Macaca fascicularis: one gene and its partner. Each later gene encodes a partner of the first gene's protein in a complex. Links are inferred from orthologs where the notes say so. Each region holds a gene or a part of one and is shown on either strand. Other genes may lie near its edges. The genes, in order: CDK6 and CDKN2A.

Region 1 (4,593 bases):
TGCAGAGTCGCTGCTGCCGCCGCCTGAGAAGCGAGCCGATCCCTCCTCTTCCCTCCCCGAAGCGAAGTCCTCAGCACAGACAGAGACGATTACATAGCCTCTGCCCAAGGGCGTCTCAGTCCAGAATCATTGCACCTAAAGGAGGAGACGGGAGGATAAGAAGAAAGTGCAATCAGACAGCCCAGAAGCCTTCCTCGGGGTTCCTCCAGACTCCCCTCCTCCTCCTTTACGAAGCCTCCATCGCTACCCTCCGCGCGCTCCTGCCCTCTCCCAAGCCGCTTAATCCTTCCTGGTTCCTCCGAGAAAAGCGAAGTTACTTTTCTTTCCCTGCAGGGCTGAAGCCGTCTTCGCGCGGAGAGGTTGCAGGGGCCCCTCGGGGATGAGCGAGCGGCGCGGGACGCAGTGGAACGGGAGGGGGCGTGCCGAGCAGCCCAGAGTGTGCCGGGAGCGCGGGGGAGGGGAGGCGCCGGGCACGTCAATGTCACGGCTTAATATTTATCCCTATATCATTGTGTTGCGTCGCTACCCTCCCCGCCTCCTGAGGCCCGGACGTGCAGGGAGATGGGGTCCAGGGGTGCCGGAGGGCGTTCAAGGGTCGCGCACAAGCTGGAGCGGAAGGACTGTGGGTCCATCCGTGTGGGGCCGCAGAATGTGGGTGGGGGCTCCCAGGACCCTGTAACCCGATGCTGTGAGTGTGCGAGAAGGGGTGGTCAGACATCTGCTCAGAAATTGCTTCCTTTCTTTCTACTTTCAGTTTTTCTACGAGGAGACATTTAAAAACGACTCGCATACACAAATGGTCTCTTTGGGGTAAAGGAGTCTCGGTTGGAAACGGAATTCTCTCTCCGACTGGGAGGACCTCCCTGGTGGAAACCTTGGGAAGACCAGCCATCTGGTCGGGGAGGGTTGGGGCTAATCGGGGGTGGGCGAACGAGAGGTCCTGGGGGAGGGGAGACACTGTCCCCCACGGGATCCCAAGGGTGGGAGAAAGGGGTGTTCGTCACAATTTCGCTTGTCGTCTTCTTAAAGAATAATTTCAGGAAGAGGATAGCTTAATCGCGCCTCGTCCTGAAGTTTTAAATTGATTTCGACCTGAGCAAAACTCAACCTCTCTTTCAAAGGGTGGGGGGTGGGGGGTTAAACCCTGCGCCTCCAGGGGTGAGAAACAAGGTCTCTGCCCTCGGGGCCCGGACTCGCGAACCTTTTCCCACTCCCAGGACCACCCCGCTGTAGGTAGCGGAGGTGGCTGCCCCATTCCCTCTCCGGCTAAAGGCCGGGTCCAGGCTGCAGCCGGACGCCCCCGGAGCCCTCTGCATAACAAAGCGCCGGAGAAGGGTACCCTAACTTTCCCTCCCCATTCAGCAGCTATCTGGGACCTAGGGAGCCTCCCTCCCCCACGGCCGCCGCGGCCTCGGCAGGACTTTCACCACGCTGGCCGCGTGTCCGGAATTCCCGGGGCACCTCGGAATTACCTGCCTCGCAACCGCTGCCCCGCTCGCCTTTTGCCAGGAATTAAACAAACGGCGCGACCCCCACGATGAGCGCGTGGAGCGGACCGCGGCGAAAGCAGAGCTTCTGGCACTCACTCCATTCAGAACTTTCCTTAAAAGCCGAGGAAAGAGCCCCCAAGGACTGCCCGGGCGTCTGAGCCAGGTCGAGGGCCACACAGGTAGCCGGGGAGCCGCCGCCGGCCGCCCAACCCGCCTCTCCTGCGTCCCCCCATCCCCCTCCCGCTCGAGTCTAGCCCCGGGCTCCGCAGCGAAGGAAGCGTCGGGGACGTCCCACCCCCGCAGGGAACTTCGCCTGCTGCCCCCGCCGGGCCCCGCACTACCCTGACTCTCCCCCCACTCGCCCCCCAGACGGTCGGCTTCGGCGGAGAGAAACGGGAGCAGCAATGCCTTTTCCCCCCCTCTCCTCCACTTTTTTTTTGTTGTTGTTGTTGCTTTCCCACGCTGGCTGAATGTGACTTGACCCCATTTCAAAAAAAGTTTGACATAGTGCTTCAACATTTCCGCATTCCTCCGCGACTACAAAGGCTGCAGCCGCCTCCTTCTGCTTTCTGTCTCTGCTCTCTGTCTTCACACTCAATGAAATCCTTCATGCGCCTCTCCCGAAGCCTGCCAAGCACCACAAGGGTCGCCACCAGCACGGCAACAAGAGGCCACACCGGGGACCGCGACTCCCGCGTGTGCGCACACGCAGATGCGCCCATATGCACACGGACGGGCGCCCTGCGGGGACAAGGGCTGCTCACCACGGGGCGTGTGTTTAACTCCAATATTTTAAATGATAAAAGTAAACTTGGAAACTAAAGCAAACGTGCGTCTTCGTGGGGCTCCAAGCCTGGGCACCGGCCGGCTGCGTGCACTCTTCTGTGCATAACACGCCCGCAGGAAGCCTGCGTTAACATTTATCTCGTGGAGGGGAAGGTGGAGCCCACACCCACACCTCAGCGAGCTGGCGAGGGAGTTTTCGTGGGGGAAATGCAAGCACATTCTCCAGCATGGAGTCCCTAGAGGCAGTGCATTTTGAACCCTAAATGTGAATTATTATGTGAATGTCCGAGTAAAGTTCCAGTTCCGTTTGGAGAAACTGGATGAGGAGTGTTCTGTGTGAGTGTGTGTGCGCACGGGTACGTGGAAGCAGGATCTCGGTGTCGCGGGTGTCCCTAGCGTAGGATCTCCCCCTCTCGTCAGATTAGAATCCTCTAGCTCCCCAAAACTGGCCCCCATAACCAACGCCGTCTCAGTTCGTAAGGGGTTAACCAAAGCCGATTCCAGGGAAACACAGGTCCCCCCCACCCCCCGCCAGCCTCCACTTACCCCACCCACAGTTCTGCCTCGGACCCCGGCCAATCCCCCATATCTCCCCAGGGACCCCCCACCCCGCAGCCCACCCACCCGAGCGCACAGCTCCTCACCTGAGGGGCCCAGTCGCGTCGGGCCTCCTGAGGGGGCTGCGAGTGTCAGTCGGCTCTCCGCACGTGTCCGCGGCCTCGCGGAGCAGGTAATCAGACTCTGGGGAAGGAGTTACCAGCACTCTCTCCGGCGAGGGGGTGGGCACAGCGGCGGAGGGCGGAGGGAAGGCGGAGGGCGCCGCCCGCGCCGCTAGCTGGGGGCGGACGGGGGCCGCGGGGCTCTGGCCGGCGCTGGGGGCCCCAGCCAGGGAGGCAGCGGGGGCGACCGCGCGGGGTGGGGGCAGGGACCCGAGAAGCCAACTCTGCCGGAGACCCACCCAGCGGCGAGGCTGGGGGCTCGTGGCGCAGTGGCAAGAAAGTGTGCAAATTAAAGCCTTCCGGAGAGAAAGGAGGCGGCCAAGCCCCGGCAGTGCTCCGAGCTCCGGGCTCCCTAGCTCCCTTCTACGAGTCGGGGGCTAGAAAGGCGCGGGGCGGGGGGGTTGGGGGGGCAGGGGAGTTAAATGAAAATTTCCGGCTTTCACTGAAACTGTAGTAGGGGGATCCTGCGACTAAAATAAGCGGCGTTAGTGGGAGAGAGTGGGACGTGTCGTCGGGAGTCGGCGGAGTTTCCAAACCCAGGGTCGCCCAGAGTTGGGGTTTTGACAGGGTGAAGCAGGGGGTATCCTCACTGTGTGACGTGGACGGATGGGAAAAACACAAAACAACTAACAATAATTATGAAGGGCCGATGGGGGTGGTAAATACCAATACTTTCCAAGAAACTGAAAAATCAGACCAAAAAATAACTCTTCTCTTAAAAAAATAAAGAAAAAGTTTGGCAGGATGCCTTGCAGAAAAGAAAATACTAATCTGTTCAAGCACTTTTCACTTTCAGCATGAGCTACATTTGTTTTGTTTTCCTTCGCTTCCTTTCTGCCTCACAAAGCCCTATCTTTTCCTTTTAGACAGAGGGTATGGTTTGGAAATTGTCAGGCACTCTTATGGTTAACGATCTACTTGAAGGGGCTGGCGGGTTCACAATTATTAAGTGGTTAGTAACTGCTGAGGGTTCACTAACGTATTTCAGAGGAGCTAAAAGGACTAAAATTTAGTGTAAATAATAGAACTGCAGACAATAGATACATACACAGAAAGAGGAGTGCTCAGTTTAAATGCATTATTGGAAATCTGAAATTTGAAACCTTGTAAGAATGTATACTTTACCTGCTGAGAAACCCTTGAATACAATTATTTCAGGTGAAAATGAGCTTTTGGAGAAAAAAAGTCTTTAAAACCTTCTACAATGGAGTAAAAGAAAACTTGAAATAGCTGTCTTTTTGGAAAGAATTTGGTGTTCTCCCCAAAATCTCTATCTGTAGAATACTTGAAACCCTTTAAAACATATTAAAGAAAAACTTTTCACAAAATTATTTACTTCAGTGCTTTGTAGAAAAATTAAAACCCGGCAAAATTCTGTTTGAATTGGACATACTACTTCTATAAATCTTTTGACTTTAAAACCATGTTACTGATCTCATAGTAAATCAAATTTTTGCCTTTATAAAATTGATTCTATATTATAGTATAAGGTAAGGCTAGGGAAATAAAAAATTGATGCATTTCCAGTAGCACATATTTTGCAATGCATTATAATATTTTTTTCTTTAAAAATAAAAGTGAATAATTGTATGTCTTTA
Region 2 (4,589 bases), on another chromosome or scaffold:
GCTATATTTATCATGCTGTGAAACACATCTCAAAAAAAATCAAACTTATTTCTTCCATCTTAACTGAGGCTTTGTATCTTGATTACCACTCCCCATTCCTCCCACTGCCCCCCTCCCCAGCTCCAGCAACCACCATTCTACTCTTTACTGCTAAGAATGTATTTGTTTTATATTTCACAGATAAGTGAGAACATGTGATATTTGTCTTTCTGTGTTTGGCTTATTTCATTTAGCATAATGCTCTCCAATTCCAAAAATTCAATTTCTTCAAGTATAAAATAAGAATGCTAGACTAGCCCTAAAATTCCTTCCTGTGGTAGGTTGAATAAGGTCCCCCCCCACAAATGTCTATGTCCTGATCCTCAGAAACTGTTAATTTATTAACTTATGTAGCAAAAGAGGCTTTGCAGATGTGATTTAAGTAATGGTCTTGAGGGAGATTATCCAGAATTTTCAGGGTGGGCTCAATAGAACCCCAAGTGTTTTTATTAGAGGGTCACAGTCAGAGAGAAGATAAAAGAATGGAAGCACAGGCCACAGAGAAAATACAGGGAATATGAGCCAAGGAATTTGATGGTCACTAGAAGCTGGAAAAGACAAGGAAACAGATTGTCCCTTAGAGTTTCCCAAAGTGGACCCATTTTTGACTTCTGATCTCTAGAACTGTACTGTAAAATAATAATTTTGTTTGTTTTAGCTAACACATTTGTGGTAATTTGTAACAGCAGCAATAGGAAACGAAAAGGCTTCCCAGGTTTATGATTTGAGAGTTCATTAAACAAGAGATGGTCACCTTTTTGGTTCCTAAATCATCTTGGAAACAAAGCCATTTCCAGAGAGGAATTTTAAAATACTGTCTCCAGTCATAGCAACCTTAAAATTTGAGTGTTGCATGGTGGAAATAAACAATTTATTTTAGGATAACTGTTATTTGTTATATTAGCTTGAGGATGGTTGTGTTAAAGAGGAATTACTTATTTTTAGGTACATTTCATACTAAACACAAATTGCATAATTTGCCTAAATCAAGGAATTATACTAAATTATATTATGGTTATTAAATGCTGTCCTGAGAAAGTGAAACTGACTTAGTTTTCAAAGAGACAAAGAGAAAGTATAAGCAAACCAAATTGCAGCTACAAAAAGAAAGACAAAATGTTGCAGCATATTTATTGTTCCGTGTGTTCACTGAAGTTCTCTTTGTCTTGGTCATAAAACTAGCCTTAAAGGTTTTTATTATATTTCATAGAATGAAAAACCTAAAAAGTAACCCATATGTAAATATTTAAATCATGATATAAATCCAAAGCAAAAAGAAAATGAATTCATTGAATTAAAATGTGTAGGATGCTTAAACCCATTTGATAATAAATTGATATGAATTTAGCATTTAAAAATATTATACAAATAAGTGTTCCTATATTAAACACCAGTGTAGTTAGGATTCTAAGCCAACAACACTTCCCCTTTTCTACATGTTCTTCTCCCTTCCCCATTAAAAATTGTCAAAACTATCCACTTTTCTTTTTCCTTTTTGTTTTTAAACAAATAAGGTCTCTTCTAAGATGTTTTAGGACTACAAAGCCAAATTCCCGGGTCCAAGCTGTTGGCAAAATTTTAGAGATGCTAAGTTACCCATGCATTAATTACTTTTAAATCATCCCCTAACTCCCTCACAAAACCGGAGTAGGGAGAGGAGAAACACCACTGTTCAAAAATGAGGAATTGAAAACTCTATCACAAAATAAACTATTATCAAGTAAGCTAAAGATAGCAAAACAGTAAAAATATTAGCAGATATTCCCAAAATGGTGACTACATATTACTTCTGGCACGATCACATGAATGTAGCTCATTATTTCCTAAGTTCCTACAGCAAACATGTATTTATTTGCCCTACTCAGTTAAAAATAAACACAATATGTAGTTGCTTCTGAATGCTTTTTTTTTTTTAATCTCCCTCTCTTTCTTTCTTTCGACAGTCTCACTCTGTCACCCAGGCTGGAGTGAAGTGGCTCCCTCTCGCTGTTCACTGCAACCTCAGCCTCCCGGGTTCAAGCGATTCTCCTGCCTCAACCTCCCGAGTAGCTGGGATTACAGGCGCCTGCCACCACCCCCCGGCTAAGTTTTGTATTTTTAGTAGAGGCGGGGTTTCACCTGTTGGCCAGGCTGGTCTCGAACTCTTAGGTGATCCCCCCGCTCCTTGAGCTCCCAAAGTGATGGGATTATAAGGCGTGAGGCACTGCGCCCGGCAGCTTCTGAATAATTTCGATCAGAAATTTATATTCGATATTTATTCCAACATACAGCACAGATTTCCACTGATAATCCCTACTAGTAAGAAAGATAAACTCCATCCAGGCATCTGTGAATTGGGGGCTAAGTAGTCCCAGCACATCTTACATTTCTTTAAGACTCCCGTTTTATCTCAAACCTTCGTAAGTTTTGTATCTGATAGAGCATACTTCCATCTAATACAAATATGTTCCCCCCTTCAGATCTTCACAGCATTCGAGAGATCGGCACGCGCGTGCCTCCTCATTCCTTCCTTGGCTTCGCAAGCACCCAGGGCTTCGCCAGCAGGAGGTCTGTGATTACAAACCCCTTCTGAAAACTCCCCAGGAAGCCCTTTTTTCCAGACTCAAAGCGCTACCTGATTCCGACTCCCCTGCAAACTTCGTCCTCCAGAGTCGCCCGCCATCCCCTGCTCCCGCTGCAGACCCTCCACCCACCTGGATCGGCCTCCGACCGTAACTATTCGGTGCGTTGGGCAGCGCCCCCGCCTCGAGCAGCGCCCGCACCTCCTCTACCCGACCCCGGGCCGCAGCCGTGGCCAGCCAGTCCGCCGAAGGCTCCATGCTGCTCCCGGCTGCTCGCTCCCTGCTCTCCCACTCTCCGCAGCGGCCAAGTGCACGCGGCCGCCCCACCCTCTGGTGACCAGCCAGCCCCTCCTCTTTGTTCCTCCGGTGCTGGCGGAAGAGCCCCCTCGGCCTCTGTCCCCCTCAACTCCTCTGGAGGGATCGCGGTATCTTTCCAGGCAGGGGGGCGCCGTTCGCGAGTGCTTGGAGGAGGTGCTATTAACTCCGAGCACGTAGAGAATGTGGCACCCCTGAAGTCGCCCCAGGGTGGGCCTCCCCCGGGGGCACCAGCCGGAAGCAGCCCCCGCCAGAGCCAGCGTTGGCAAGGAAGGAGGACTGGGCTCCTCCTCCTCACCTGCCCCCAACACCGCCCTCCGGCCTCCCTGCTCCCAGCCGCGCTCCCCCGCCTGCCAGCAAAGGCGCGTTCGAGTGCGTTCACTCAGTTAAAAAGAAAAAAAGAAATCCCCCCGCCCCCCGCCCCGTTTCCTTCCTGCGCGGTACAACCTTCCTAACTGCCAAATTGAATCGGGGTGTTTGGTGTCATAGGGAAAGTATAGCTTCTTCTTTTAATCATAAGAAAAAGCAAAACTGTTCCTTCCTAGTTGTGAGAGCCCCACCGAGAATCGAAATCACCTGTACGACTAGAAAGTGTCCCCCTACCCCCTCAACCCTTGATTTTCGAGAGCGCGGGGTTCACTAAGTCAGAAATCCTAGTTCAAAGGATTCCTTTTGGAGAGTTGGCCTACCCTCTCCTTCTCCACCCCTTCCCCTCCTACGTGTAAAATGGCTGTCTGGGGCAAGGGTTTCTCAGACGTGTACATTGCCTGGTATAACAGCAGACTCTGAAAAGATGAGGTTTATTTAATACGGGGGAGATTTCTGCCTGTAGGCAGATAGGAAAATGGAGATGGAGTCATTGGAAGGACGGACTACATTCTCAAAGTCATAATTCCTAGACCAGAAAAAGTGCTCAGTGTTCTAGAGGCAGAGTTGCACAGTGATCCAAAGACCCGCTTTACACATTGTCCTGTCTCCTACACACTCCTCACATTTCTCTTTCCTACTGAAAATACTTTGCATTTTTCTTAGTTATAAAGGGAGAAGGGAATATGGGTACCCCCTGCTTTACAGGGGTGTTGTGAGTTTAAATGAATTGTTGTATATTAATACATATAAGAGTTAAGAACACTGCCACACATCCTAAACTAATACCTGTTAGCTCTTGAATTATCCGTTTTGAGGATTGGCTTGCACTCTTGTTTTGAGGCATAGAAAGAAAATGCTTTGGAGCCGGACGCGGTGGTTCACGCCTGTAATCCCAGCACTTTGGGAAGTTGAGGCGGGCAGATACCTGAGGTCAGGAGTTCGAGGCCAGCTTTGGCCGTCTGTACTAAAAATACAAAACTTAGCCGGGCGTGGTGGTGCACGTGTGTAATTCCAGCTACTCAGGAGGCTGAGGCAGGAGAATCGCTGGAACCCAGGAGGTAGAGGTTGCCGTGAGCCGAGATCGCGCCACCGCCTTCCAGCCTGGGTGACAGAATGAGACTCCGATTCAAAAAAAAAAAAAGCTTTGGATAGAATTATCACTATTATATAAAAGGAAAGGCTGGACGCGGTGGCTCACGCCTATAATCCCAGCATTCTGGGAGACTGAGACAGGAGGATCACCTGAGGTCAGGAGTTCGAGACAATCCTGACCAATATGGCGAAACCCTGTCTCTACTAAAAAAT

What was found.
Region 2: the proteins of CDK6 (region 1) and CDKN2A are in contact, whole or in part, in a crystal structure (PDB 1BI7), measured with the Homo sapiens proteins. The link is inferred for Macaca fascicularis from reciprocal best matches to the Homo sapiens genes CDK6 and CDKN2A. Residues at the interface, in NP_001138778.1 of Homo sapiens: Glu14, Cys15, Val16, Ala17, Glu18, Ile19, Phe28, Lys29, Arg31, Leu33, Asn35, Gly36, Gly37, Arg38, Phe39, Arg44, His100, Asp102, Gln103, Asp104, Thr106, Thr107, Asp110, Lys111, Gln149, Thr154, Ser155, Leu166, Ala167, Arg168; in NP_000068.1 of Homo sapiens: Thr18, Ala21, Arg22, Gly23, Arg24, Glu27, Asn42, Tyr44, Arg46, Gln50, Val51, Met52, Met53, Met54, Gly55, Ser56, Arg58, Asp74, Ala76, Thr77, Thr79, Asp84, Arg87, Glu88, Gly89, Phe90, Asp92, Asp108, Trp110, His123.

What each region holds. Positions count from the first base shown.
Region 1 is NC_088377.1:128,509,767-128,514,359, reverse strand, and holds the start of CDK6 (cyclin-dependent kinase 6), read right to left. Parts: upstream 3,013-4,593; 5' UTR 2,921-3,012; intron 376-2,920; exon of another isoform or gene 136-375; 5' UTR 1-135. UniProt on the Homo sapiens protein: Serine/threonine-protein kinase involved in the control of the cell cycle and differentiation; promotes G1/S transition. Phosphorylates pRB/RB1 and NPM1.
Region 2 is NC_088389.1:76,950,096-76,954,684, reverse strand, and holds the start of CDKN2A (cyclin-dependent kinase inhibitor 2A), read right to left. Parts: upstream 2,883-4,589; 5' UTR 2,859-2,882; coding exon 2,733-2,858; intron 1-2,732. UniProt on the Homo sapiens protein: Acts as a negative regulator of the proliferation of normal cells by interacting strongly with CDK4 and CDK6. This inhibits their ability to interact with cyclins D and to phosphorylate the retinoblastoma protein.